Oreochromis niloticus: one gene and its partners. The protein of the gene in region 3 interacts with the protein of the main gene of each other region in a biochemical or structural test. Links are inferred from orthologs where the notes say so. Each region holds a gene or a part of one and is shown on either strand. Other genes may lie near its edges. The genes, in order: nppc, nppb and npr2.

Region 1 (11,176 bases), on a different chromosome or scaffold from region 3:
TCCACTGTACTTTTCAAAAGTAAAGCCCTTTTACTCAGATTCTCTACCGGGATAGTGTCGTTACGTGCTATAAGGTCTTCAGGCTATGATGATTTGGATGCCATGTCATCTGCCGGTGAAGGTGGAGGTTGGTCAGCTGTCATCTAGGAGTACTTCATGCTTCCATCTGCTGACAAGCTTTAATGGAGATGCTGACTTCCTTTTCCAGCAGAAATCATCACCTGCCCACAGTGCCAATACTACCAAATGCTTGGCTGATCATGCTACTACTATGACTGACCAGCCAGCCAATCCATGCGACCCAAACCCCACAGACTGTCAAGAAGAAGACAATAAATACCTGACCTAAAAAATACAGACAAACTGAAGGCTAAGAAAGCAACCTGATCACCTGCATGCCTCGCCGCACTGATGGAGTATTTTGCATATTAGTAATATAGTTTTGAGTATATAAATTAACACACTTTTGATCATTACAGATGTACATTTTTACTCTAATCATTTGAGAAACTGGATTTCTGATTTACTTGTACTGAAGTACAAAAATGTACTTTTTCACAGTATTCAGGTATTTATGATGATGCACTAGTGAGTGTGTTCCACAGTAAAACAAGTGTTAACATTTCTGAAATTATTACATACCCCTATAATATCAAAAAACATCAAGCCAGGAGACAGGAGACCCTACCTCCTGAAAAACGAGTTCATTCCAAAACGTGTGTTTACACAGTCATCTTACGCATTTTGTGTACATTAGTCAAGTAGCTCTGTGTTGCCAATAAAGGCAAGCGTGTTTGTTGGCACATGCAAAAGGCTTCAGAGCACTTGTGTAAAAAGCATTAAAATTCCACACGCAATAAAACCGTTATTTATAGGACCATAACAGCCTTGTAGTTTGTCTTACACAAACCCAGAGGAGGAATCAAGACACTCAACCCTCCCATAGACACTCAGTGCAAAGGCTACTGCAACACATGGTCTCTCCATACGTTTGCATAGCTTCCTGGTGCAAGTAAGTTAGGCTGCTTCATTTTCATTCAGCCACATCAAAGCTTAAAAATTTACTGAAAATTGAGCGGATAAGAGTTTGCGGGAAAGGCAGGGAGAAAAAGGGGGAAGTACAAAAGGACATAGCAAAATAGGTGCTCTCAGTAACCCGTGTGATGTCATTGGGAAAAGTGTGTAACATTGTTAAACTGTACAAAAAAAGGCAAACTTGTGACACAACACTTGCGACATGAAGAAAGAATGTGTCATTCACTTGTTAAAATTCAAAATAAAGGGATTAGCAATCAGTGAAAAATGTTTTGCGAAACCCAAAGATGTCATCATGGACACAAGGTCAGCAGAGTTCAGCTGCTCTGTATTGCTGTTGTAAAAGCGGATTAGTAAAATGGTTTTCCATGCAATTGAACATCTTTACTGCAGTTACCTTGGAGTGTGAATGGCCTTTTTAGCAGCAGTAGCTGCTAAAAACATATTTTTATTGAAGCACCACTCGCATATAAGTATGCTATCACATATGCAATGTGATGTGATGCACGTGTGTTGATTAGTTTCAGCTTAAATTATTTTTTGCACTAAAGAGTAACATGCTTCAATATAAATGCCATCAACACTGTGAAAAAAACTAAAACAAAAAAAAACTAGTAATAAAAGTTCAGATGTAACAGTGTGACTCATGTCAGAAAAGTACATCCTGTTGATGATTTAAAAAGCCTACTTTATTTCAACATTTTTTTTATAAGAAAGGAACAACCTTCAAATCTTTTAGTTTGTTTTGGGACTACATGAGTACAAATGTTTTGACGACAAATTTCATCTACATTTTTTCCTGTTACTCTTACTAACTTATTTAATTCAACATGGACCAGCAGTAAAACAGGTTGTGGGCAGGGTGCAAGGGGTGACCTGTGATGGCACAGGTTTTCCTGATACAGGAGGACCTGGCAGTGGCCTTCAGGGGTGGTGTTAATAACCCTCTACACAGCCTTCCTGTTCTCAGGTGTGGGCCCTGCCTACCAAATACCCAGGCAGTAGGTGAGCACACTTTCCACTGAGGAGCAGTAGAAGGCTATCAGCAGCTTCTGGTCTGGGTTATTCTTCCTCAGGACAGAGGAAGTGCAGCCGCTGCTGGACCTTCTTTACCAGGGCGCTGGTGTTGTGGGCCTAGGCGAGATCGGCGGAGAGGTGGGTGCCCAGAAACCTGAAGGTGGAGACAGATCCCATCCGTTCTCTGTTTATAATAAGAGGGGAGTGGACTAATGTGTACCTCCTGAAGTCCATTATGGGCGCTTTTGTTTTAAGGATGTTCAGCTTCAGGTTATTTTGTTTATGTATAAGTTGTATAATTCTAATGTTTTATTTGGGAACAGAATGGTGTGTATGTGTAAGTTTGGTGATGGAGTTTTTATTATGAATGAATGATGAATTTTTATGAATTATTATGTCTATGTTTTTATGTTTAAGGACAACAGATGGAAATTAGCCCTTGGCTATAATCTGGTATTTTTACATTCATGTAATTTTTTTTACATTTATGTTCATTAACATGCACTGTCCTAAATAAATAAATTAAATTAAATTTTTGGAGTCACAGGTGTGCAGGGCGTTCAGTAGTGGGCTGAGAACACAGCCCTGTGGGGATCCAGTGCTGGAGAGAGGTAGGGCCAAGTTGGGCTGATTGAGGCAAAATTAAGAGCTATTTATCATCACCACAGCTTACCTTACTCCGGCAGATTTTATTACTGTCATTTCAGAAAGTAAATATAATGTCAGCACAGGAGGTTTTGGTTAAAATTGAAGATGACTTTAAAGAAAACCTTACCAGGGAATCAGTGAAAATATCACAGTCAGATCACCCTCGAGCACAGTACATTAGATTAAACTCATGAGTCATTTATCCATATATTTGTATTGGATCATTTGTGTTATGATTTTTTTTCTGTGAAAAATAAAGTTATCGCAAAACTAAGAACACCCTGTAATTTTAATAACTTGTAGAACCGCCTTCAGTAACAATAACTTAAGGAACAGAAGTTTTCTGTATGTCTTTATCAGCCTTTTACATTTTTGTGGAAGTGTTTTTGTCTAGCTCTTACAACATTACATTAGTTCGTTTAGGTTTTTTGGGATTCATTTATGCACAGGTCTCTTAAGGTCTCGCTGCAGCATCTCAATCAGGTTGAGGTCTGGATTTTGACCATGGCAAAGTCCAAACCTCAACCTGATTCCTTTCTTTTTGAGCCATTCTGTTATAGATTTGCTGCTGTGCTTGGGATCATTGTCCTGTTCCAAACCCTAATTTGGCCCAAGCCTTAGCTGTCAAACAGATGGCATCACTTTGGATTAGAACACTTTGGTATACAGAGGAGTTCAACTCTAATGACTCCAAGGTGCCCAACTCCTGTGGCTGCAAAACAAGCCCAAATCATCACCCCTTCACCACCATGCTTGACAGTTGGTATAAGGTTTTTGTGTTGATATGCTGTGTGCTGCCAAGTGTGATGCTGTGCATTATGGTCAGACATCTGCACTCTGGTCTCATCTGTCCAAAAGACATTGTTCCTGAAGTCTTGTGGTTTGTTCAGATGCAACTTTGCAAACCTAAGCTGTGCTGGCATGTGCTTTTTAGACAGAAGTTTTCTCCCATCAGCTCTTCCAAACTTGTTTCTACTCTTTTTCTAATTGTACTATCGTGAACTTGAAGTCTGCAAAGTCCGATATTTAGCTCTTGTTTTTTAATTTTTATTTATTTTTTTGCACTGCTCCGACTTCAGAGTGCTATAAAAACTTTCATTATATTTTTCTTTTTATAGCTTTATATAGCCAAAACAAGTCCATTACTTTCATTTCAAGCAATTAAGAGAACTTCTGCATGTAGTGACAGTGATGAGTGTAGTAAGTTTGTTAGATTGAAGGAAAATTGACATTGTAATGCTTTGTCCTGTCTTTGAAGAGAAGCAAAGTCTGGATGCATGTTGCTCTGTTATAACATCATATATCACTGGCCAGTCATCTTGTTCATCTGTTCAGTTTATCAATGTCTCTGTTTTATGAGTTTATAGGGCAAAACCATTTACTTTATATGCTTTATCAAAGTAACGTTGTCTAATTATACACACAGTATTTTATTAAGCCTTCATAGTCATAATCTTTAATATACACCATAAGTGATTATTATTATTAACGATCATTTTTTATGGTGTGCAACCAAAAAGAAAGCAGAGTATTCAGCAAAGGCTGAAACATGGACACCTAATAATGACACTGCTGCTGGCTGCCATCCAAACATCATTTTTGCTGCTTGATTCAATGCAAATTCAACACACGTTCTGATTGACATTTTATGGCAGGTAGGCCAGCACTGCTACAATAAATATGATATATGTTCTGCAAAAAAATGCAGGTATACACTTTCCATATGCCAAACCTGCTCTAAAAAGCCTTTATAGGACTTTCAAATCCTGACGATCTGCTGATTAATGACTTAGTTTTACAGTATAGTATTGATCCACTAACATGTGACTTTGAGGGGTATTCGCTTTTCGGCATAGCAAATACTGCCACTCTGTGTTCCAAAACAGATGGTGCTGCCTGAGCTTTCTGCTCCACTATGTGGGGCCTCGACTACTCCAGAAACACTCCACACTGCAAAAAGTATATTTTTTTTTTCACAAGGGTTTTGGTATTGTCTCAAAATGTGCGCATATTCTTTAAATAGGTAAATTATTCCCAGTGGGGTGACTTTTCAGCTTAAACTTCCCTTGACAACATGCCGTTTAAGTTGTATAGTGATTGATTGCAACTTATTTTAAAACATTTTTAGATCATCATCATTTTAACTGCATATCACAAATTAATAGTGACAGTTCTATGCATATCTTAAAGCAGGTCAAGCGGCATATGTAACCAACCGTGGGTGAGCTTACGAGTGTTAGGCAACTATACATCAATGTCAGGCAGTACCAAAAAACGCTTCTTTATAGTTGAACTTTCTTGGTTTACACTGTTTAAAACACGTATGGTCAAACTTTTAGATTTAACATGGAACTACTCTCTCAACCCTGACAGTGAAGCAACTCATGCATGTGTCACACTTCTACAGAAGGGTCACTCTCTCACAGAGTTCCTTTTTTTAAAATCCTGAGCATCAGAAACTTTTCTTGGACACTTCCAAGGTGTTTCCACCGTATTCCCAGCCCCTATAGCCAGCTCCTTTATTCAGTTCTGGCTAACCAGTCATTACTGGTTGACATAAAACAGGTGCAGCAGTGCTGGACACTAAATTAAAAACTCTGGTTTTCTGCCAAAAGTAGACAAACCTGGTGCAAATTGCTTAAATACAACTACATTCATTTATATGTTAAAAAAAAATAATCCCCAGCTGCAGATTAAAGCTAGATTTTTTATACATTTTAGTGCTACAGTAATTTTTTCCGGTAAGACTTACTTGTAACACTTTAAACATGAAAAAGCATTCATTTATTGATATGATGTATAGAAGAATATAGCTTGAGAGTGCTCTTTGTTGATTGGCATTCTCTAAACCAGTAAGAGGGGTTGAAAGGCTACGAGTCATAAAGGCTTTTTCTTACACCAGATTTTATACCGACACCCATTCAACTGTTCTTCTCTGGACTTGTGGTAAAGTAACATAGTCTGTATGAAAACCCATCGTCACTCATTGGTTGAAGTCAGCGGCTAATGCCAATTCTTAAGCCTAAAGTAAGTATAGACATATAGACTTCTGTACAGTTTCACTCATTTGTGCAGAGTCACCCTCCTCCTGGTTTATAGAAGTATCGCTGGTTTAATATCCTGCATATTGACTGCACTCTGCAGACTCACAGGCTAAAATTTAAGAAAGCAGCAGCTTTTCTTAGTGACATGCCAACTTTGATTCAAGAACAGTATAACACCATAAATTATGGCTGGACACTGGTGTGGTAATCATTGCTTAGGGTTCATGTCTGTGCTTCTGTATGGTGCTTGGACACTGTACAGTTATGCTACTGAACAGTCAGCCTCCTTTCTGTGTTGGAGGTGACTGTCTAAACAGCTCCACACATCCAGTGTGTGTCGGAGTAGCCACAGTAGTTCTGAGATTCTTCTCTGTAAGTGGGCTACCTGATCTAAAGACAGAAAACAAACTGTAAGATACCCATGAAACACAAAACCATCTAATTAAAAGGTTTATGGGGAACTGCCATTTACATCCAGACACATGACATGACTTATAATGAGTGTCTCTGTTTTTTTATGAATCAGCATGAACCGTCTGAAGTTTTTTCGGTGTGAATCCCCCTTAGCTGATGTCATGCTCTGATGTAAATAACGTCGAGCAGATGACTTAAACTGGGTTGTTTAATAATTCCATCTCTGTATGTTTGCATTCTTCTGTATAATAATAATAATAATAATAATAATAATAACAATAATAATAATAATAATAATAATAATAATAATAATAATAATAAAGTTTTACCCTTTAAATAAATAAATGAAAAACGCGGGGCTTGAGTGGCGCAGTAACACATCACATTATTTCTGGTAAAATTCCGCTTGGTGCCTTCCAAAAAAGTGATTAGATGAAGAAAATCACATTTGAATTTCTGGAAGGTATCTAAAAAATGACCTAATTCCTTTAATTCCAGTAGCAGACTCTGAATTTTCGCTTCGTTAAAGAAAACAGGATATGTCATCCACGCGCAGCATATTGTATGTCTTTTTAAGATGTTCCGCAGGACAGGCGGTTGGCATCCTAGAATTCATTTCACTGCCAAAGTCGCTCTTCAGCTCTTGACGCGCAGCCTTTGAAACCACCTTTGGTTTCAGCTGTTGCATCTCAGCCAGAGGTCTAAAAGCTTAAAGTCTGTGCCTTTTGATAGCTTATAGCCTATATCATTTTCTCTAACACCGCGATGACCGGAGCTTGTATCATTTAATTAATCCCTGGCGTGACGTGCTTAGAGGCAGGTACAAAAAACAGTGAATAGGCGAGGAAGGAGAACCATTACGCAGGTTTTCATGACATCACCATGGGCTGGCTATAAAGCGGCGAGGATTAATACACAGAGTTAGAGAAGCACTTGAGGAGCTTTGGAGTAAAAAACGGACTCTCCTTGTGTTTAGAAGCTGATTGGCTGAAGCTAACGTCCTTCGATCTGAACTGCAGCGCAGAGGAATCCCCGAACAACTGCTAGACTTGTCAAAATGAACTTGTCATACTTTGTAGCATGTGGACTTATGGTCACCTTACTTTCAGTGAGGATGGGGGCAAAACCTTTAACTCAAGCGCAGCAGAAGGTAAGAAAAAGTCACTTGTATTGTTATTACTGACTAGGAGAACCTTTTGATTGGTTTGGACTAAAGCTGCTGGAAGCTGAATACTGAATAAGCAGCTGATCTGTGGCACAGGTCCTCCAGGACAGTAGCTTTGCGCATCATATTTCACAATTTGGTTCTTGTTAAGCTGTTGGGGAAAATCTGTCTTTTTCCACACTCGGAGTGTAACACCCCTGTCCACTTGCACTTTATTTACAAACAGACGGCATGTTCAGTGACATGCAACCGAAACAGCCGGTGAAAGTTTGTTTCCGAGCATCCCTTTGATATTTTTAGACTTTAAATCGCCCCAATGCGATTTTTTAAATGAAACCACATATGGGGAAAACATTAAAATTCTTGCTTTACAATAACTCTGAAAAGCGATTATACTGACTATCAACATCATTTTTGGAATTTTATGTATTTATTAATTGTTGTCAAAATAAGATTCACCAAACCAAAACAAAATTGTGCGTAAAATCGCAATTACGCATAGAATTGGCCCGAATGAATAAAGCTGACCCTTTAAAAAATACTCGTTTGAAATAATGTTGTAATTATTTGCTAAACTCACTAAAATTTGGGAATGTTGGAGGTCTTCGTTACAGTCTACTTTACGAACAGATAAGTAAGCTACACGCACCTGTTTTAAGTTTGTTTATTTTTTTCTTCACTTTGAGAGCGAGGTGTCAGAGTAGGTAACTTAATAAAACAGAAGTACTGCACCCTCTCGGGATGTTCCCTTCTTCAGGGGTTTCCTTCGAGGTTTGAACCTCATGACTGGAGCGTCTCGTGGATCTTTCCCAAAGTTGTTTTTGGTTAGATGATACAAGTTAATGAATTTTTGAGTGCCGTGCTGTGAGAAAAATGCCAACGCGTTTTCCCCCCTGGCCATTACGTTTGTGAAAGCGTTAGAATATATGCCAAGCTGAGGTTTACCTCAAACATTTAGCATATAATGACTGCTCTGCTGAAACGGGCACAAACCATAGATTTCACTTTCATCAAAAGCATTTGTCTTTGCACAATTTATTTGCCTGAGGGAGAGATTGTTTATTTATTTTCTTATCTTTCAGTCTCTTAGAAGTTTGCTGGGCGAGGAGCTGGCGGAGTTTCTGGAGTCGGAGGAGAGGGAGAGACGGCTCGACGCTGTGCGCACTCGGATACGCTTACTGCGCGATTTACGGGTGGACACCCGGCCCAGAGGCATGTTGGCTCGTCTCCTCAACGATCAACCCCCAAACAGGAAACACAAATCGGGAAGCAAGAAGGCTGGCTCCTCGTCACGGAGTGGCTGCTTCGGACACAAGATGGACAGGATAGGCACCATCAGCGGCATGGGATGCTAGGGCTGGAGCAGCGCTGCAATGAATGGTGAGTGGTCGCTCATATCAGTCCCACTTTAACATTATGCAACACTAACTGCAGCCACAAACAGTGACATGTAAACAGAGCCCAGAATGAACAGGGTGAAATGAAATGAAAGAATAAATGCTGAAAGACAAGACGGAGACGAATTACAATCAGGGATTTAAAAAAAGAATGGCCTGGTTAATAAAATGGGCATAATAATTTATTTTTTAATATTTTATTTATTATAATTTCATGTTGGTATTCCTCACGTTAAAAGGATGATTTTACAGGATTATCTGTCATATACCTAAGACACATGTATTTATGCAGCATTGCATGGTTCAGCTACATGGAAAATATTGTGGTTCACTAACTGCCTTTGACATAGAAATATTCAATCTAGGGAAATAATCAAGCCTTAACCTTGTAGCATTACCTCCTAGGACAGGATAGTCTTAGGATAGTTTAAGTGGATAGCCCACTTAAGCTGATGTATGGGAAAGAAACCAGTGAGCATTTAGGAAGTCCACTCTTGTATCTGTGCACATCATCATGAATGATCCCATCTGCTTCTATAACACAAGAACAATATATCACATTTAAGAAAAAGGGCAGGGAGATATCGAGGACGGAAGTGGGGTTGCAGAGACACATTCACGCACATATTTGGTTGTCAAGATCTTTCTTGGAAACGCATTTGTTTCACTAAGTGTTTTTAACATAAACTGAAAAGGGGGCTGTGTGGGTTAATTAAGGATTGGGGAATCTAAGTGACACACGATTAGTCCTGAGGCTTCACACCTTTTTTCGATTTTATGGTAAACTCTGAAATCCGTATGGGGGAGTGTTAGTGACTAACAATGGGTGAGTGTGTTTTTCATTGGTTAACACCATACGGGTGAGTTAATCTGAAGTAAAGTGGTTAGATGAGAAGTGAGTTAATGAGTAAAGAACCAACAAGTAAATTTGGAGATTCCCTGACTGATACACGTATTACGTTAAGAAAAGAGCGAATAAATGAACATGTGTTCATTAGGCTGACCTTGAAAGACTAACCTTTTGCTTTTGTTTTCCTCTCTTTTTCTAGATCTCTGGACGATGTGTTTGTTTGGATGACAAAAGTTGAGTTTGTTCTTACCAGAAGGGGAAAATATAGAAAAACTCATCATGATTGTTCTTTGGTACGAAAGTCACCATGACCAGCATAAACAAAGACTTGGATGACAATACTACAAAATCCTAATATAGATCTATATATATATATACAATAAATATGCAGGTATATATACATATATACAGTACATATATGTATACCATACAACATGGTCAACAGATACAAACACAGATGCGTAGTACAACATGGCGGACAATGGTGTAAAAACTACATACCGCAAAGCTGTATATTGTTGCTGCTGCTGCTGCTGTACATTCATGTACTTCATCTTTCCCTGCATAAATGTATTTATGTTTAAAATCTATTTATATGTTTATAAAAAAAAGAGATATTTATAAATATGAATTTTATTTATGTAACATTTTGGAAATGGATGCAAACTGTAGGTCAATTCTGTTTGTTGCCTTTTTTTTCCCATTTGTCTCAAATAGTTGTAAATGTTTTCAAAAACGATAAAACGGACATTCCATGTGCACTTACATCTTTGATCTCGGTGTCTTTGTGTGTTCCGTGAAACTAGTCAATTCTAGTTGGTGAGCATTTTCTGCCTGGCTTCTGGAGGTTTTGTCAGAAGAGAAACAACGACTGCCCTGCTGTTAGATGGAGCGCCATTCATTTTTATTCAGTTCAATTCAGTTTCATTTCTATGGCGCCAATTCACAAGAAACAGTGACCTCGAAGCGGTTTATGTTGTAAAGACCCTACAATATTAGAAAGAAAAGAAAAACCAAGCAATCATTCGACCCCCTCTTGTTGATGGTGGGAAGAAAAAACTCACTTTTAATAGGAAGAAACCTCCAGAACCAGGCTCAGGGAGGGGCAGCCATCTGCTGTAGCCGGTTGGGTTGATGTTACAAAAGGCACACTTTGGTACAGAGAGCCAGAGTTTAACATTTACTAAAGATTTTATGCTGCTTGGATTTTGAAAAAGTGTTTCAAACATTAGCAAATATCTGAAACTCTGTGTTATCAGATAAAATGTTTATATGAAACAATAAGGATTTGTTGAGTGCTGCATCTATACTGCTGCATTCAACCTAGCATGATCTACCCACACTGTTGAAAGCTCTTGCACAAATTTGCTGCACAAATAGAAGAAAACACTGAAAATTTACATTTTGACTTAAAGCGATCTTTAGAATTCAGGCAATAACACTGTAATCCCAAACCACTAATTAAAAAGATGATAGAAAGCCACTTCCTCCTAATGTTCCTCTAATTCTGTTGCACATTACATCCAGTTACCAGTTGGTAAATTTAAGAGCGATATTATTTAAAATAAGCAGTAAATTCACCTTAAAATTATCCATCCATCCATTC
Region 2 (9,802 bases), on a different chromosome or scaffold from region 3:
TTAAATGAGTAGTACGTCTGGTGCCCACTCGTTACAATAGCAATGATTACTCGTCTAGTCGTGCATGTGTCTAGTATGTTTCTAGACGAAGAGATTTTTAAGATGGGTTATCAGACCCAACCCATCAAAAAATAGCCACAAAATTCAGATTTTTTTGGAACTGAGATGTTTATTAACCCTTATAACAAAATCCACAAATCCTTTTTTTTTTTTTTTGCTATATAATGTTGTGCATGATATGTTTATTATATATTTTTTGTATCGCATTTGATACATTGGTGGTTTTGGCAACTTTTTGTTAACAACAATGTTAATTTTAGAGACTAAAAGAATTTTGTCCATAACATTTTGAAATTATGGCAAGTATTGATCATGTTGATGAGATAGAGGTCTCAGAAACTCATGTATCAAATATGATACAAAGGGCGTTATAGGGTTAATTTCCTGTTCGGTGCCTGTAACAAGAAATCACATGTGATTTTTCTTCCCCCTTTATTATCTCTAAAAGGGGAATTTATTTGAACAAGCTGGGGACGTGTAAAGTGTGGTGGAGTCAGTGTGACTTGTTATACAGTGGCTTGCAAAAGTATTCGGAACTTTCCCACATTTTGTCACATTACAGCCACAAACATGAATCAATGTTATTGGAATTCCAGGTGAAAGACCAACACAAAGTGGTGTACACGTGAGAAGTGGAACGAAAATCATACATGATTCCAAACATTTTTGTTACAAATAAATAACTGCAAAGTGGGGTGTGCGTAATTATTCAGCCCCCTGAGTCAATACTTTGTAGAACCACCTTTTGCTGCAGTTCCAGCTGCCAGTCTTTTAGGGTATGTCTCTACCAGCTTTGCACATCTACAGACTGAAATCCTTGCCCATTCTTCTTTGCAAAACAGCTCCAGCTCAGTCAGATTAGATGGACAGCGTTTGTGAACAGCAGTTTTCAGATCTTGCCACAGATTCTGGATTGGATTTAGATCTGGACTTTGACTGGGCCATTCTAACACATGGATATGTTTTGTTTTAAACCGTTCCATTGTTGTCCTGGCTTTATGTTTAGGGTCGTTGTCCTGCTGGAAGGTGAACCTCCGCCCCAGTCTCAAGTCTTTTGCAGACTCCAAGAGGTTTTCTTCCAAGATTGCCCTGTATTTGGCTCCATCCATCTTCCCATCAACTCTGACCAGCTTCCCTGTCCCTGCTGAAGAGAAGCACCCCCAGAGCATGATGCTGCCACCACCATATGTGACAGTGGGGATGGTGTGTTCAGAGTGATGTGCAGTGGTAGTTTTCCGCCACACATAGCGTTTTGCATTTTGGCCAAAAAGTTCCATTTTGGTCTCATCTGACCAGAGCACCTTCTTCCACATGCTTGCTGTGTCCCCCACATGGCTTGTGGCAAACTGCAAACGGGACTTCTTATGGTTTTCTATTAACAATGGCTTTCTTCTTGCCACTCTTCCATAAAGGCCAACTTTGTGCAGTGCACGACTAATAGATGTCCTATGGACAGATTCCCCCACCTGGGCTGTAGATCTCTGCAGCTCGTCCAGAGTCACCATGGGCCTCTTGGCTGCATTTCTGATCAGCGCTCTCCTTGTTCGGCCTGTGAGTTTAGGTGGACGGCCTTGTCTTGGTAGGTTTACAGTTGTGCCATACTCCTTCCATTTCTGAATGATGGCTTGAACAGTGCTCCGTGGGATGTTCAAGGCTTGGGAAATCTTTTTGTAGCCTAAGCCTGCTTTAAATTTCTCAATAACTTTATCCCTGACCTGTCTGCTGTGTTCTTTGGACTTCATGGTGTTGTTGCTCCCAATATTCTCTTAGACAACCTCTGAGGCCGTCACAGAGCAGCTGTATTTGTACTGACATTAGATTACACACAGGTGCACTCTATTTAGTCATTAGCACTCATCAGGCAATGTCTATGGGCAACTGACTGCACTCAGACCAAAGGGGGCTGAATAATTACGCACACCCCACTTTGCAGTTATTTATTTGTAAAAAATGTTTGGAATCATGTATGATTTTCGTTCCACTTCTCACGTGTGCACCACTTTGTATTGGTCTTTCACCTGGAATTCCAATAACATTGATTCATGTTTGTGGCTGTAATGTGACAAAATGTGGAAAAGTTCAAGGGGGCCAAATACTTTTGCAAGCCACTCTACATCTGTTGGAAACAATCAATATATCAATCAGTCAAACAGCCATCTAAACCATGTGGCCATGAAAGGTGGTTTGAACCCTCTAAAAATGTCAGCAAATTCAAATTCACTGATGATGATGTAATTGTAGCTTTAATCAGTGGAGCACTGATGATGGAGTGCTCAGCTGTACTGTAATTCACTGTACATCATTTCCTTGTTAGAAAGCCTTTAAACAACCTCGAAGACACAATCAGGTGCCAAGCTAAGACCGTATGCACTAAACTACTCAGCTGATCACCAGTAATGCACTGGCAGTGAAATAAATGGGAATGGAAAATCATTATCACCAATAAATAGTTCAGGATATTCATTAATGTTCATGCGCGGTCTGTGTCAGATCATTTTTTTTATGAAGACATTAAAATAAATCTGTTATCAAATGAATTCTGTATATAAACGTCCTGCATAGAGCTCCCTGCTCCTGCTAGTTACTCAGAATGACAAGAGCTTCTTCATTAAGACGACACTACATGTTTCAGTTTGTGTTTTTATATTTGACAGTTCAAAGGAAAAGTCTCCCGTACATTAGTGTCTTTTTGAAATATGCTGGCTGTGTCTGATGGTCAGTGATGAGGGCCAATGACCTGCATTTGTAAACATTTATTAAAACATTCAACAGTACACAAGGAACAGTTTTGGTTCCATTTTTTTTAAATATTCTGCTGAGCAACAGTATTTAATAAATATTAGTAAATAAATAGCCTTTAAATAAAAGTATCTTTGTGTAGAGACGTTGCAGTTTTGGAATTTAGATGGTAAGACTTCATCTTTGCTTTGGATCTGCAAGAGAAGAGTAAGAGAGTAAGAGTTAAATCTGTGCTACATTACTCTAACCTTATTGTAGTGAAGTTACTGTAACTTACTGTATCTTCCCACAGTGTTGCAACCCAGAGAGCTCATGGAGCCTATTCTGTCCATCCGTCGCCCAAAGCAACCAGAAGATCTCCTAGATGAATCATTGCGGACACTCTTGAGGTTCTTGGCTGAAAGAAACTCCCGGATTTCAGCTTCATCTAGTCCAGCGTCTGGCTGAGGTCCATCTCCTGCGTCCTCTGTGCTCAGGCTGTCTAGAAGATCCCTCTGTCCAGGGGCACTTTGGTCCACTGCCATTTGTTCTGAAACAGACTCCTCCAGTCTGCTGAGGAGCACCTTTAAAGATCCACACAGATGAAAGTTGTACTGGGTCTTAAATAATAAACATGGCAATTTAACTATGCCATGAGGATAGACAGAGGCACTCAAATGTATTTGTCAACAATTTATGTCTCAGTTTATTGAGATTATTAGAAGCAATATTGGAGCACAGGTAAGATGAAAATGATCAGACTCTATGCTTTATCACATGAGATATCAAGGCTAAATATTGGGAACAGCTATGGAAGGAAATGCAGGATGTTGTTCAACATCTTACGTGAATAACTAACATTAAAGTCTATAAATAAAATTGAGTTCCTTGTTCTGGTTGCTGCTACAGATTGCCTAAAATTCCCAGGCAGACTCAACCTTTTCAAGAAAAAGTTAGTGTGAGGAGACTTACCTTCAAGATGTCCATGTCAGTGTCAGTCAAGCCAGTACTGATGGGATACATGCTAGTCAGCTGCAGCTTTAAAATGAGAAGGAGGCTACAGAGCCACATAGAAGACAGACGCATGATGCTCTGAGTTGCTGCTGTTCGTGTTAGTAGTTGGATGAATGGATAAATTCTCTTTTTCTTCTTTGACTTGTAGGTGTTTGGATGCTGGAGCCAACAGCAGCACTCTCTTTTATACTTAAGGTTAACACACATAGGTATGCCAGGAATTGGACCGGCATGCCTGACACCTAATTCTGATAACACGAGCTGTCGGAAAATGCTCCTTTTAAAGCATTGTATGCTAGTATTCTTATGACATAGCTGCTTCCATATGCTACTTTGCTTGAGAAACATTCTCCAGAGCCTTCCCACCTCACACGGGACACTGTTGTCACTGAGTTACAGGAAGTAGTAAACTAATGTGACAACATGATAGTGTTACTAAATGAAGACACATATGTAATAGTTGTACGGTCGCCTGCTGATAATTGTTCTGAGAGATCATCTTTTAGTGGCAGGAATAGTGGCAAAAATGAGGAGTCCAATCTGCTGATGTGATGTTTACACTGCCTAATGTTCTTTTCTTGAAAGCGTATTTTAAAGTCTGTCACCTTTGGATAATTACAACATTTTTAATTGTCGGTGTTTTCTTGAATTGATGTTGCATCCAGAATATGTATGAGAATAAACTGAACTGTCATTGCTGACCTGCTGTGAGAAGCAAAGGAAAAACAAAACACTACACATATCACTCACAAGTCACTGCCTTGTGATAACTTTAATCAAATATAGCAGTGAATTAAATGATTATGAATTTAGGTGAAGTACTGTCTCTAAAAGACTGATGTTGCTCAGCTCTGCTTTCACACAGACAAGTACAGGAAGTCTTTTATATTTCATGCAGTTATAGTAACTGTCAAACTCACTGCTGGGATTTTGGCAAGTGTAAATAAATAAAACTGTATTTATTATTGAAGCAGTATCATTTGGACCACCAAGTCACAGAATCCTCATTAATTGAATGAACACAAACAAGAAAAACAATAAGTTCATTAATAACAACAACAACAAAAATCTCACTTTTTTGTAAACAAAGTAACTTCAGAATAAACTCCTCTAAAAAAATGAAAGGATCATCACAGTATTTGGGTTTGGGGCAAGGTGGAGCAGGAGAAGCACTGCCAGAGTCCTACAAAATGACCACCAGTGAGCCACTAGTGCATTTTTCAGACAAAACTGTCATGAATGGACCCAGAAAACACTAGAACTAGCAGGTCTACCATTGGTACCTCAAATTTCCTTGCAGATGAGAGCAGGTTCAGCCCTGAATCCAAATAAGAAGGTGAATCCAGCAGTGGTGGGGTGGAGCAGCGGGTTCAGGGTGTGGATGCAGGGGAGGCTGATCTTCACAACCGACAAGCATCATTTAATCATGCATTACCTATTCCAGTAGTGGCTGGGGCCGGAGAGGAGCCCATCATCTAAACAGAGCCACTGGTGTGACAGAGGCTGGCAGCGAAGCCAGCCAGCGAAGCCAGTAATCGAGTGCATTACAATAATCTAATCGGGAGGAGATGAAGGCATGAACAAGCATCTCCAGTTCACCTTTGGAGACAATACTCATGAGTTTGGCGATATTTCTTAAATGAAAAAAGTGAGAGCAGGTCACAGAATTGATATGAATATCAAAAGACGGAGATTGATAAAAAAAAAATTAACTAGAGATTCCGAGCATTAGCTTTTACCGTGGATGAGAAAGAACCCAGATGTTGCCTGATTTAGGGCTTGATAATCTCTGGAGCAAGAATTAAACACACAGTCTTTTGTTTGTCATCCAACCATCAATCGCACTAAGACAGTCCATTAGAACAGCTAATTTGTTTAATTCACAGGGTTTAAAGGAGATGTCCAGTTGGATATTGTCTACATACAGATGGTAGGAAATAATTTTGGAACTACTAATGATAAGGCTTAAAGGCAGAATATATAATGAAAATAACAAGGGGCTTAAACCCGATCCTTGTGGAACTCCACATGAAAATTCAGCTTCATCTGACTGAAAGCTTCCTACTGAAACCAAAAGTGTTATATCCGCCAGAAATGAGGGGAACCATTTTAGGACAGATTCAGATATCCTTACCATATGATTTAAGCGGTAGATTATGATCTGATGATCAACAGTAAATGGCTGAGCTAAGGTCCCATAAAACAAGGACTGACCGGTCACCCATGTCTGCGGCCATCAAAAGGTAATTTGTGACTTTGATGAGAGCTGTTTCTGTGGAGTGTAACTTTCTAAAACCCAGTTGAAAGTTATCAAGAATATTATCCTTCTCCAGTGCCTTCTTTACTTGTGACCAAATGATTTTTCTGATACTGTAGTAATGAAAAAAGTTTTGAGCTGTGTCTGTAGCTTGTCTGAAGTGTCAAATCCAGGTTAAGCTTTTTCAGCAGAGGTTGAATAACCACCTGTTTAAAGCACCTGGAGACAGAGCAAGGTAGCAGGGAACAGTTTTTCAATGTGACCAGAGAGAGCCCAGTGGTGTCAAAAACTTTAAGAAACAGAGAAGTAGGTAAGACATCAGCTGGACTTGTTGAGGGTTTCATTTGAGTTAGTATTTCTGATCTTTTAACAAAACTGGGTGAAAAGATTCCATAATTATGGGGTGTGGGAGATCACAGTTGAAGGGGCTATCTAAGGGAGACATGTTTCCTCTAAGGTTGATCTTATCTTGGAAAAATCTTTAAAAGTCATTGCAATCCATATCTGAAAAGACAGGTGTACACGGAGTTGGAGGAGAGACAATGCTATTCACTGAGATTGAACAGGAGTTTAATATTGTCGTCTTAATCGGCCAGGCTGAAGCATCTCTGGTTAAATCCTAAGGGGCTTGGTGCAAGTGTGCCCTGTACACTCCCCAGGACTTCATATGGTTTCTCATAAGCCGTGGGACAATGAAATGGTCACTCACATGGTGTGGGAAAACTGGTCTCAAACACGGTGTCCTGCCAAAACCTCTGCGGAGAAGCCATACATTCAGCTGGAGGTCCGTTTTAGCTAAAACATCCAACACCGGGAGCGCCAAGAAGGACGCTAAATCACCGCTACTCTTGTATTTCTGTAATCTCACTTGGATGCCCACTCTCCTTCCTCACTTCCCCTGACGACTCTTTGTCAGGGAAAGAGTCTGCATAACACAAGCAACCATTGGAGGTTATGGGTAACAGCTGATCGCCCAAATGGTGAAGGGAAGCCTCCAAAGTGTTTCCCATTTTCATCCATAGACTCCATTGCTAACTTAATCTGAAATAAGGTTTAAACGTAGGTAGCTGTAATCTCATACACAGACAGCAGCAAAATATGTAATGCCATAAAAAACAGAAAAATAGAGACCCTGACAGTGGCATTGCCAATAACAGGCGCCATCTTGTTAGGGGTCTGACAATAATTGAACAGTTGTCAAATAGGGCTGTCAGCTGTGTACCAACCTGACGAGATTAAGTGAAGTACCCTCTGAAGGTCTACTAGATGATGTGAATGCAGCACTACGGACGATACCTACTGCCACCATTACCGAGACTAACCAGCTGATCTACACCACGGCAGCAGTGATCAGTGAGATGCTTGGCTACAAAATGAATAGCCACAAGGAGCAGTACCCTCCGTGGAGAAATAGAACAGAGGCTAGGATCAAGTTAGCCAGGAGGGAGGTTAGCCAACTATCGGAACTGCAGAAAGGTGCGATGAAGAAGGTGCCTAAGAATTACAGCAAGCTGTTCATACCTGAGGCCATGGAAACTGCCAAGCAAAGACTCACAGCCTTGGCCAGCCTCTTGAAGAGGTACACCGGAGAGATAGAGGGCAGGACAATAAACCAGCTGTTCTCCACAGAACCATCCAAGGTGTACTCTCAGTGGCAAGAGAACAATATGAGAACGCCACCACCAAGGCTTGAGATGGAGCAGTGCTGGAAGAGCATATGGGAAAAGGATGCAACACATAACAGCAATGCTCAGTGGTCAGCCACCTCCTCTACATGGATGATATTAAGCTGTATGCCAAGAGTGAATGAGACATCGATTCACTGATCCACACCGTGAGGATCTACAGCAATGACATCGGGATGTTGTTTGGACTGCAGAAGTGTAGTTGGATGGTAACAAAAAGAGGGAAGGTAGTCAGAACTGAGGAGATCATTCTACCAGAAGGCAACATTGCAGACACTAAAATAAGAACAAGTACCTGGGAATCCCAGAGCCAAATAGGAACCATGAAGAGGCTGCTAGGAAAGCTGCAGGAAGATGGGAACAACTGACCACTTGCTTAATGAATAACTCTGGCAACAGAAACCCAAGAAAGAAGCGGAGCAAAAGGAAGAGTCATCATGGAAGGAAAGGCCCCTAGACGGTATGTAGAGGAAGTGGCTGAAATCCAGAAATTCTACCAGTGGCTGAACTAGGCACTAATTATGGCAGCACAGAAACAAGCGCTCAGCTCAAGATCCATAACCAGGTGGCTGGCATACTATACAGGAAAATCTGTGCTGTGTATGGAATGAAAGTCCCAAGGTCAAAATGGGAGACTCCCCCTAGGGTGGTGGAGAACGACAGAGCTAAGATCCTGTGGGACTTCCAGGTACAGATCGAGAAAATGGTGATGGCTCACCAACCGGACATAGTGGTGGTCGACAAGCAGAAGAAGACAGCCATAGTAATAGAAGTAGCAATACTGAATGACAGCAACATTAGGGAAAAAAGGAAGCATCAAGGGCTCAGAGAAGAACTCGAGAAGATGTGGAGGGTGAAGGTAACACTGGTCCCAGTGGTAATTGGAGCACTAGGTGCGGTGACTCCAGCAGATCCCGGGAACAACATCAGAGATCTCTGTCCAGCATAGCGCAGTCCTAGGAACGGCTAAGATACTGCGCAGGACCCTCAAGCTCCCAGGCCTCTGGTAGAGGACCTGAGCTTAAAGGATAGACTTTAGACAATAATACATGGTGAGGGTGACAATTTAATGATTTTGTTTGCTTTCCACCAGGATGTCACCAACTTGTAATTTCTGACTTCCTAAGATCTACATCTATCCGTGAGTTATTGTAGGTTTCCTTTTGTATCCATTTGATTAAATATTTTAGTTGATTACAGTAACTTTGACATAGTAATTCAAATTTGTAGTGCTTCTAATCTATCGTGCCAATTACTATTTTGTAGTGTTGCTATGGAAATTTGGGGTTTCTTGCTTTTCTGATAGAATTTTGTTGCTCATGCATTGAGGGATTTAAAGCAGTTGTCTGTGAGAGTTATTGGGGGCATTAAGAACAGATAATTATTCTGTGGACTTTAATTTTGACTGTTGCAAATCGTCCAGTTAATGACAACAGAAGGTTGATCCAGTGTTTGAGCAGATACTCACTCTTATTATTTGAGGTATTTGTGTCTAACTGATTAAAACAATCATACAATTTAAAAAGGCCCTGACATGGTTCGGAGTGGTTGTGCTGTGTTGGAACAATAGTCATGGGGAAGTGGGTCCAAAAAATGAGAAGTAGTAGTTAAAGGATGCATTTAATAGTCTACGAGTGTATGCATGCCCACCTGACAAGCTTCACTACTAATTAGCTTCGTTTCACTAATAGCTTCTGCCCTTGACTGCGGTAGCAACTTTAAGTGAGGCTCTAATAACGGTCAAGCAACAACTGTGTTAAGTGATAAGAAGGTACAACGTACTTTCTTTCCTCTTTGGTAAGAAATACTTGACCACAAACGAATACTTTTTGTCACAACTCATGGGTGTTTTATTTTATAATTGTAGTTTTCAACACAATGTAAATGTAAACATTCAGTTGGTTTCATCACACAAATATCACATAAATGTTTATTCAAATGAGTGAAAACAAACTGCACCTTTTTTATTGTTTATATTTGGTTGTAGCCCTTTGAGTGGTCAATAAAAGTTAGGAAAGCATGATATGAATGCCATTCTATTCAGTTCCAACTGTTAGATGTTAGTTGG
Region 3 (10,700 bases):
CATAACCAAGTCGTTTTTATTTTCTAGCGACATAGTTTTTATTGAATACAGCCAAATAGTCTTTAATGATAACATATTTTAAATTAATAATGCATACATAACGTATTTAAAATGATACAACTTAAGTGTTTTCTCTGGTGCATGGAGTGAAATGATTACATCCACCACCAAACCCCTCCAACCTCCAAACACTGCGTTCTTTCATCCCTTAAAAAGTGGAAAATACTTATTTCTTGTACACGGATGCGTATCAATACAAATGAGACTGTACAGATGAAGAACTGGGTTGAAGGACTTAAAAATAAGAGTTGGAAATTCTAATATGATTTAATATTTAAATAACATATTAGGATCTAATATGTTATCTAAAGTGAAGAACAAAATGTTGACTGATCCAATGATAACCTTACCATTCAGAAGACATTCAACCACACAAATGCATTTTCACAAGAGCAGTAATCGTCAAGTCTGCCTCATGATATTTCCAGTTCGTAAAGCTTAAGGACAGAAGAGTGGTGAGAGATTTAAAGGCCTCCTTCTGCTACCTTTAAAGAAATAGCGGTATTATGATTTGTTGACGTCTAGATGAATGGGGGGGTTTTTTCAGTGGGACAAAATATTTCAAGGTTGAAGCTTTAAGTCTATCTAATAGTCTGCTGACACCGTGGCATTGTTGGTATCGTCTTGTTCCAGCTCTTCTACTGGCTGCAGTTTGTTTCTGTTTGTTTCCACTGAGGGAAAACTGTGTTTTCATGTTTCATAATGCCCCATAATTTAATCAAACGTGGAGTGGACCCCAACCTTTTCCATCTCCTCTACACCCACAGCCCTGGACTCCAAAATACGTCTCTCTTCAACATTTTTCATTTTCAGCAAACTCATTTAAACCTGTATCTGCACAACTTTCAGCTTTCCATTCCTGTACTATCCATCCATCCATTCGCTTTCGCTTATCCTTTTCAGGGTCGCGGGGGTCCATTCCTGTACTACTAGCAACTATTACTATACTGCTGCTACTTTTGCTGTAAGCTTATTATTTCAACCATTTATGTACGGTTTGTAGCTTTAACAGCTCTTCATATCATCAGCTTAGCTAGAAGTTTCAGTTTTTACTGTTTATTTATAACTTTATGTTGAAAATGTTAGCCAGTTACTTCATTTCAACTATTAATCCAGTAAATTTAGATTACAGTTTTATTTGGACTTTTAGCAAACAGTTTCAGTGGTTTATCTATATTTTATATAAGGTGCTGTGCAAAAGACTCGAGTCATATAGCCAGACTTTTCTGTCAGTTTTTTTTAACCCTATCTTGAGCAGCAGTTCTCCAGGTGTGATAGAGGTCTTTCAAAGTTTTCATTTGGCTGCTTTTTCACTAATTTTCCATCCAGTCCTTCACCTTACCATTTTGAAAAAAAAAAGAAGTTATTATTTGGTGAACCACTTAACATGACCTCCGAATCATTCCAGGACTAAAAAAGGTACCTAGCTAAAGGGATGAAACAGTGTTGTGTCTACACATAACTGACAACTTTGCAAAGAAGTATAAAGAAGTATAATCTTCGTTGGGTACTTTATTACCAGCAACCTGTTGAAAAAACACATAATGTTCTCATTTCTTTAGTTTAAGCAATAAAAAATGTGAATAATAGCACAGTTCAACAGACATAACATAGTATTTTGAGCCCAACAAGTTGGGCTTCTATATGCATACTTAGCATGCTATGCAGTGTGACCTTAAAAGCTTTGAGGACAAGTCTGAAACACTATCTAAAACAGATGAGAGAACAAAGACCGGACACAGAACTTAAGGGACGGATCTCAGGACAGGTGGCTGTCAAGAAGCCATTTATAAGGGTGGGAAAAGACTGAGGGACATCAAATTACACAAGAACTGAAGTGAAAAGTGGCAACAGGTATGAGGAAGTGATGAACCCAAATGTGAAATTTCTGGTTCAGATAAATGTTTGGAAGAGGTAAGGAGACAGGTACAACAGTGGGTGTCTACAGCCATCTGTAAAACACGGTGGGGGCTCTATCGTGGTTTGAGGGATGTTAGAGATTGTGACAAGCTTGATGGCGGGATTAACACAGGACGGTGCTCTCTTCAGGATGGCAATGATGCCAGGCAGATTCTCAATGCAGTAAAAGCATAACTGGATAGAAAATCACACAAGGGAACACTATCAGTCATGGATCGGCCTCACCAAGAGCCCGGATCTCAAAATTACTGAAGCAGTGTGAGATTATCTTGATGGAGAATGGAGCAAAAGGCAGCCAACATCCAAACAAGAGCTTTGACCGTCCTTCGTGAAGCCAGGAGAACAAGACTGCTTAAAGAAATTAAAAGAAAACTTTCCTAAGAGAGTTCAGGCGTGCTAAAAAACAAATGTGGTCACTCCAAATATTGATTTTTCAAGCTTGTTAGACTCATACAAACTCTTTTTTGATTTATATACTGTATTTATATGTAAGTTTGCACAAGTTTCAATAAATGTGTGCACCAATTTCCTATTGTCCTAGCTAAATATGAATAAATGGGGGGTGGCTTTAGACTTTTGCACAGTAATGTAGTAGTTTAAACTGCATGAACTGGGAGTCGCTGTTTTCGGGTCCCTGTGCAAACCCCCCGAACAGCTTTGCTATTTTTTTTTCTCTTTGGAAACTTTATCTCCACGTGATTTTTAAATAATTGATATAAACCTAACTTAACTGGCTGCACAGCAAATATTGACCAGGCTGAATTGATTGTAAGCCTCCTTTATATTCTCATTACAAAGCAAGCAGCACTGTTTGGCTGCAAGGACACACGCTTACTCACAACTTTTCTCCCTCTCTCTGTGTGTCTTTAAAAAACACAGGTGGTGGTCCTCCACAAGGCAATAAACCCAAAGCAGCAGACTGCCCACAGCCTAAACATTCCTGTGTAATAACTCCCGAGTAAACAGGCTTTCCCTGCACCTATTCCAGTCCACCTCTGTTTGTATCTTCTTAGGAAAAAACTTCACTGTGACCTCATTCTGGGAGAAAAAGCAAAATGCCTGTTGTGGACATCTAGTTATTTCCACAACGGTCTGATGCACTTAAATCATTTCGAATATAGATTTTTCCCCCCCTCAAACAATTGGGAAATAAATCTGCATGCAGGCAAACTTAACCAAATTGTTTCCCATGCAGATCATCCAGTATGATGGAAATTTCGCTTTCCATCCACTGACATTATCTTTATAATATCCAGCTGGAGATCTGCTTTACTTCAAGATAAAAACGCACAGAAAAAAAGATACACACACACACACACACACACACACACAAAATGTTTTGGGGTTTTTAATCATACTCTTTTAGAGCTGGTGTTTCTGTTGGTTTGTAAGATACCCATTTTTAACTTCCTAGATTTCAAACTTTTAATCACACCTCCCTCAGCATGAACTTACTTCTCCCGCTCTCCTTGATAAAAGTAATGACATCCTTGTGGTACTTGTAGTCCTCCTGGTACGGGTGGGCCCCCACTGTAATGTTCATCTGCTCCTTCAGGTTCAGGTAAATCCCCTCAGAGAGGAAGTAGTGCGGCCGATCGTCCTGCCGCCGGTCGTAAAATATCACCACTGCCCGGGACGTCCAGTTAAAGTGCGTGTGCAGGACGTTGGCGAAGTCCCCCAGCTTTGTGGTGGACGGTCCGCTGCGCACAATGGTCCGGTACTCCTCCCGCTTGTCGAAGCCGTACGCGGGTCCACCAGCGGTGATTAGCGGGATTTTCCAGTGGGATGCGAATCGCCCAACGGAGGCAAGCGGGTACACGCACCCGGGTCCGAAGAAGGCGTCCGGGCGGATGTAAAGCTTGGCGTCCACGGCCACCACTTGCGCCCGGCTCTCGGCGCACGACCCCGCCGCGGGGTCCTCCGTGCTGTAGTTCAGGATGTTGATGGAGCGGTCGAGCAGAAGCTTGTGTTTGACGTGCAGGTCCTCGTGCGCCATGAGGAGTGCCGGGAAGACGCGCGGAAGAGCCCACGGGTACTTCTGGTGGTTGTCCGGGAGCATCACGGCCACGGTTATGTTACCTCTGCAGCCGGGAAGGAGCCAGCAAGACAGTGCGGCGAGCACGCAGCATCCCAGCGCGCCTCTGCATCCCATTTCTCGTCCCAAAGAGAAAGCGCACGGCAACGGAGAGCGCACCGTTTGGAGAGAAGACACGGCCGGATGTGGCAACCTGACACCAAACCGTCTGCCTCACTTTGTCTCCTTCTCTCTCTCTCTCTCTCTCTCCCTCTCTCTCGCTCTCTTTCTCAATCACAAGTGCCACAGAGTCGGTAAATGCGTCATCTTGTCATCGCAGTCCGGTTGTGCCATGCGTCTCCGATGCGTAAAAATCCACCGCTAATGAACTCGTGGTACTTCCAAAGCGACTTTTCTCAGAGCTGCGCAGTCCTTACGCTTACAGTCTCTCGGAGAGTGATAACACACATCCAGATGACTCCAAGTTAAATCAGAGCAGCCCTCTGCTCGGCCCCCACACGTCACACACTGCAAGAAGTGGGCCCTACAGTGTCAATAAATCAGCGTGTCCCAGTTTATTTTCTTTATTCAGGTAATTTTTAATGTTTCAGTGAATTAAGATGATTCCAATACAGATTATAATACATTTTAAATCTAAAAAACCTCATTGTGCCCACTTAAATGAAACACGGCAGACCCTGACTGTCACTTATGTGCTTGGAAAGATGAAGTAAAATGAACTGCATCAGGAAGAAGAAGAAGGTGCCCTGAGTCACGATTATACACGTGAAGTGTTCACAGAAGATGACAAATCCAAACACGTCAAATCGCCTGTTAAAATATTTGGTATTTTTTGCAGTGTATGAAGAAACAGCCCATTAAAAAGCGGAGTTAGCTCGCCCCCTGCCTGCCGTGTCACATGTTACAGAGCAAGCATGTTTAGAAGGAATAAGTTTGGGACTGTTCTTGAGGCTGCTCAAACTGTCAGTTTTAAGGTGCTGGTGTTACTAAACTGATTTAAGGTCTTTCAGGTGAGCTGGTGAAGTCACTTCAGTCTGCAGATGTTACACCTGAACGTTGCTGCTCCTGTTTTGGGCACCAAACTACAACTTTTTCAGGTTTTTTTCATTCTCCTTAGCTTTAAAGGTTATGATTTTTGGTTGTTTTTGCTTTTCACTTTGTATCTCATGTGCATTACTAGTCTGTGTATTTACAGAGACACTCTTGGAAGGGTAAATTGTTCCTGTTTGTAAGTAAAGTAAACATACTCTTTGTCTGTGTTTTGCTTGTTGGGTTCTGGTCACAACAGGGGATCAGCAAAGTCCAGAATTTGATTCACTTGGTAAAATGAGTGTTTGTATAAAATGTCACAGAATTCATTCCGGGCATTAAAAAAGCCCATCTACAAGGGAGGATAAGCTTAGGAGCCTCGTGATGATGAAAATGGAGTAAAAAAGTTCCTTATATGTGTAAAATAATGAATATTTTCATGTTAAGGGAGTTCAAAAACTGAAAATGTGAGGCTATATGGAAAAAAAAAACCTCCCACACTGAAGTAATAGATAAGCAGATAGAGTGTTTACTTTATACTTATTATAGGTATTTTATAGATATATTCATCAAGCATCGTGGACAGGGTCCAAGAAAACCTGTGAAGGAAATTTAATGTTAAAATGAATAAAATGTCCAACACTTTGTTTTGTTTTTTTAAAAGCTACACACATACTGTATTTTCTTCAATTCAATTCAGGCTCTTCATCGCTGCTTTTGTAAATGAATGATTCATTAATGTTTAAGTTAGCGATGTGCGATACCACTGATTTCCTATCCGATACGATACCAAGTAAAATTCAGGGTGGTATCGACGATACTGACCCGAAACCGATACTTAATGTGCTATTGTATTTCAAAATGATTACAGGACATCAGACTACTTGTTCTTATTGTTTAAATATGAAGAATTATCATATAGAAATCAAAAAATTGTGTTAATTGAAGCTACTTGAACACGCATATCTTGTCATTTAACATGTATATACTTGCCTGGACATTTCAACAAAAACATTCAGCATTCACACTTTCCCTCATTCACAGTAGTGCCGTGCCACACTACAAATTTTGGTATCGATCCAATACCAAGTAAATACAGGGCCAGTGTTGCCAAAGATATTCAGGCAGCTAATTGGACGAGAGGAGTGTGCTATGACTTATGAGATGAATTCTCAGTTTGCAAATTCTGAACACATTTTAATCACCACTATATCACTGTGATTGTTACTTTCCACAATAATTAGTTAACACTACAAAACACACCTTTCAGCTTTTCATGTGTTTTGAAACTGGGTTTTTGGAGACCTGGAATGTAAACCTTTCGGTCTCTAAACCACACAATTTTCATAGTGCATGTTTGAGGTTTATTTGTTCCAAAGAAATAATTAACACAGTTCAGCAGGCTGCATACTGAACTTGCTAGTATCAGTCTGATACCAATACTAGTGTTGGTATCGATACTATCGATATTTGGATCGCTCTGCCCACCTCTAGTTTAAGTTTACTTCTTTTAATTATTTGTTTTGCAATTGTTGTACTAAGTAAGGTTGACACCTCTTTGATATTTGACTCTACCGTAATGGCTTTTCCCGCTCAGCTGGAACTTTACTCCTCAGACAATAATCTGAAATGTGGCTTGTGAAGAGGCAGGAAGAGGTTATATGCAGCAATTAAAATAGCTGTTTGCTGTTTTGATGCTGCATCTTACAGGGGGTTTTTTTCTGCACAGCTGTGATCACCTCTACCCACACTGCAGCACCTTGAATTAGACATTCGTGATTCATTTAACACCTTTTCTGCGACTCAAAAGACAGCAGTCAAGGTCTTTATACGCTGCAAAAACAACCATAGAATTAATTTTGCTTGTTTGGCATAATCATTATAACAGAACTGTTCATTGCATCGTAGTATGTTAGAAATACAATTCAATAAAAAAAAAAAAACCCTCACAGAAAAAGAAGCATGTTTGTCACATTCCTTTAAGAGATAATCTCTCAAAAATCATCACCGTAGACCAGAAACACTGCGGGTTCAGTGCTCTGATTATTCCTACTGTTCCGATATCGCCCAGAAAACAAGACGAAACTCATTAAATTAAATAAAAGTAAAAAACAATAAAGCTCAGTAGGTGGCAATTGACTTTATGTAGCGATATTAAATTAAACAAATCAACAAGCCAGCCACCGATTTTAGAGTTAAGAGTATATTTTTGTTACTAGACAACAAAGTTTCTGGATAAATTGCTGGACTTGGTCTGTGGCTAAAAAGTTGGTAGTAATCAGAGTAATAATGCTGTAATCCGAGTACTTGAATAATCTGATTACTCTGATTACCTAAGTACCCAAGTACTCTGATTACACAGGTAATCTGATTGCACCACTACTCTCATAACTAGGTATGCTGCTTGCAATCAAATTATTGTAATCAAATTACTCAGGTACTTGGGGAATACTGTAATAGAGTATTTAGGTAATCAGATTACTCAGTTAATCAGAGTACTTGGGTAATCAGATAATACAGTAATCAGAATACTCATGTAATCTGATTATTAGGTCATCAGAGTACCTATGTAATGAGACTAGTGGCACAATCAGATTACTTGTGTAATCAGAGTAAACAAGTAATCTGATTACATGAGTACTCTGATTACACAAGTACTCTGATTACACCCATAATCTGATTACACAGGTAATCTGATTACCTAAGTACTCTGACTACACAAGTAATCTGATTACACAGGTACTCTGATTACCCAAGTACTCAGATTAAAAAGGTAATCAGATTACACTGTAATCTGAGTTCTTGGGTAATCAGATTACTTGTGTAATCAGAGTAAACAAGTAATCTGATTACATGAGTACTCTGATTACCTAAGTACTCTGATTACACAAGTAATCTGATTACCTAAGTACTCTGATTACACAAGTAATCTGATTACCTAAGTACTCTGATTACACAAGTATTCTGATTAAGCAGGTAATCAGATTACACTGCAATCTGAGTACTTGGGTAATCAGAGTACCCGTGTAATCAGATTACTTAGGTAATCAGATTACCTGTGTAATCAGAGTAAACAAGTAATCTGATTACATGAGTACGCTGATTACCTAAGTACTCTGATTACACAAGTAATCTGATTACACAGGTACTCTGATTACCCACGTACTGAAATTAAACAGGTAATCAGATTACACTGTAATAATGGATTGGATTTCATATAGCGCTTTTCAAGGCACCCAAAGCGCTTTACAATGCCACTATTCATTCACTCTCACATTCTCACAACTGGTGGAGGCAAGCTACTGTTGTAATCACAGCTGCCCTGGGGCAGACTGACAGAGGCGAGGCTGCCATATCGCGCCATCGGCCCCTCTGGCCAACACCAGTAGGCGGTAGGGTAAAGTGTCTTGCCCAAGGACACAATGACCAGGACAGAGAGTCCAGGGATCGAACCGGCGACCTTCCGGTTGCAGATACGCTTCCCAACCCCCTGAGCCATGGTCGCCCTAGTTAGAGTACTTGGGTAATAAAATTACTTGTGTAATCAGAGTACTTGTGTAATCAGAGTAGACATGTAATCGGATTACATGAGTACTCTGATTACACAAGTAATCTGATTACACAGGTAATCTTATTACCCAAGTACTCTGATTACACAAGTACTCAGATTACCTGAGTACTTTGATTACAGTATTACCAAGTACTCTGATTACATTATAAATCTGATTACACATTACTCTGACTGCCTGTCTAGGTCATTGTGTCCTTGGGCAAGATACTTCACCTACCGCCTACTGGTGATGGCGCGATATGGCAGCCTCGCTTCTGTCAGTCTGCCCCAGGGCAGCTGTGGCTACAACTGTAGCTTGCGTCCACCAGTGTGTGAATGTGAGAGTGAATGAATAGTGGAATTGTAAAGCGCTTTCAGGCTCTTGAAAAGCGCTATATAAATGCAATCCATTATTATCATTATTATTATTATCTGATTACAGTATTACTCTAATTATCTCAGTAATCTGATTACCTAAGTACTCTATTACAGTATTACCCAAATACACTGATTACCCGAGTAATTTGATTACACAATTTGTCTGATTACATTGGTAATCTGATTACACAGTACTCTGATTACAGCCAAACTTTAGTCACAGCAAGCCACATTTATGTCTGGTAACAAAAACATACTCTTAAGTACCTATGTAATGTGAGTAGTGGTGCAATCGGATTACTTGTATAATCAGAGTACTATGGTAATCTGAGTAATATTGTAATCAGAGTACTCATGTAATAAGATTATCTATGTAATCAAGTACCTATATAATGAGAGTAGTGGGTTACACAAGTAATATGATTGCATAGCAGGAAAAAACAAAAACAAAACTAAAAATAATAATACACACAGTTACAGATCCGAGTGAATGACTTTATTTTCTCTGGAAATACTTCACATATATCAGACATTTTAGGATGATTCATACAGATATATTATTAGTAGAGATAACTGACTTTAGTTAACGCTGATCCTACACACCCAGAAGTCACAATGAAAAATCTGCTTTTACACTCTCAGCGTTCGGCTCTATATCAGCCCCTGATAAGCTCAGACAGGTATGTATGATACTGAACTCGCTTTAAAAATAATTAGTGGATACATGTGCGGTTTGCCATTTCAGTTGCTATCATGACACTGATCATAAACAATAGAAAAAGGCACAAAACGAAACAATTTGTGTCTTTTATTCATTTTTTCCCCCTTAAAGGGGTTTTTAGCGAGCATGCCCTGTCAGTTGGTCCACCTCTGTTCTGGTCCAGATCATCTCTCTTCACTCCTTCAGCCAGGTGAGCAGCTGAGGTGTGTAGTAGGTGATGATGATGTCAGCGCCTACATCAAAGAGCAAGGAGAAGCTATTAATATTACCCAAATCCAGAGCAGAACTAACACTTAATTAAAGCTACATAGAAACTGGATGTAATTTTCCCCTCACTTGGGCCCAGACCAGAAGACCAGATTGTTATTGACCCACAAGAAAGCAGATTTAATTACTGCTAGCCTAATCTACAAGAATAGTATATTATTAAATGTATATTTTCTAATATAAAAATGTATATTAGTAACTGGGGATTGGACCACACTGCATCAGACCCTACAGCTCCTCCTGCAGGTGGTGGGCCGACCTCACACTTTCAGGCTGAGCACAGCCAGGCCCAAGCTACAACATCCACCTCAGGTTGGGTGGAAGAGATAGAGGTAGTGGCTGGGAATCTATGCTTAGTGCTGTACCAATGAAAGGACCCAAATAAGCAGCAGGTAATGGATGAAGAAAAGTAAATAAAGCTTTAAAATACATGTAGCAGTGTAACCTCTGTGCCTCCCTCTAGACTCTGCTGCAGGTACTGCTGCTAGAGAGAGACAGGATGGATGCTATCAGTCTTTGCCAGAGTTTACAAGAAATTCAAAGACTGCAACAAACTAAATGTGTTATCTGTATTCTGCTTTTACTTCAGCTTCCTCTTAATTCAGCTGACTGCTGTGGACATCCTGGTCCCTTTCACTACAGACTGCATCAATGTGAAAAGTAAGCAGCTAGCTAAATGAAAGAAAAATGATTTGGAGCAGCTTGTGACTCTAATGACTCTAAAAGTAAAAAAATACTGG

Evidence for each region.
Region 1: the proteins of npr2 (region 3) and nppc form a complex in vitro, tested with the Homo sapiens proteins (3 studies listed by BioGRID). The link is inferred for Oreochromis niloticus from reciprocal best matches to the Homo sapiens genes NPR2 and NPPC.
Region 2: the proteins of npr2 (region 3) and nppb form a complex in vitro, tested with the Homo sapiens proteins (3 studies listed by BioGRID). The link is inferred for Oreochromis niloticus from reciprocal best matches to the Homo sapiens genes NPR2 and NPPB.

What each region holds. Positions count from the first base shown.
Region 1 is NC_031980.2:34,352,633-34,363,808, forward strand, and holds nppc (C-type natriuretic peptide), read left to right. Parts: upstream 1-6,796; 5' UTR 6,797-7,215; coding exon 7,216-7,308; intron 7,309-8,405; coding exon 8,406-8,678; 3' UTR 8,679-8,703; intron 8,704-9,769; 3' UTR 9,770-10,335; downstream 10,336-11,176.
Region 2 is NC_031984.2:35,527,651-35,537,452, forward strand, and holds nppb (natriuretic peptides B), read right to left. Parts: upstream 3,957-9,802; 5' UTR 3,865-3,956; coding exon 3,751-3,864; intron 3,363-3,750; coding exon 3,077-3,362; intron 2,994-3,076; coding exon 2,977-2,993; 3' UTR 2,799-2,976; downstream 1-2,798.
Region 3 is NC_031972.2:31,169,262-31,179,961, reverse strand, and holds the start of npr2 (atrial natriuretic peptide receptor 2), read right to left. Parts: upstream 4,489-10,700; 5' UTR 4,133-4,488; coding exon 3,436-4,132; intron 1-3,435. Other genes in the region: alad (delta-aminolevulinic acid dehydratase), read right to left, coding at 9,868-9,926. UniProt on the Homo sapiens protein: Receptor for the C-type natriuretic peptide NPPC/CNP hormone. Has guanylate cyclase activity upon binding of its ligand. May play a role in the regulation of skeletal growth.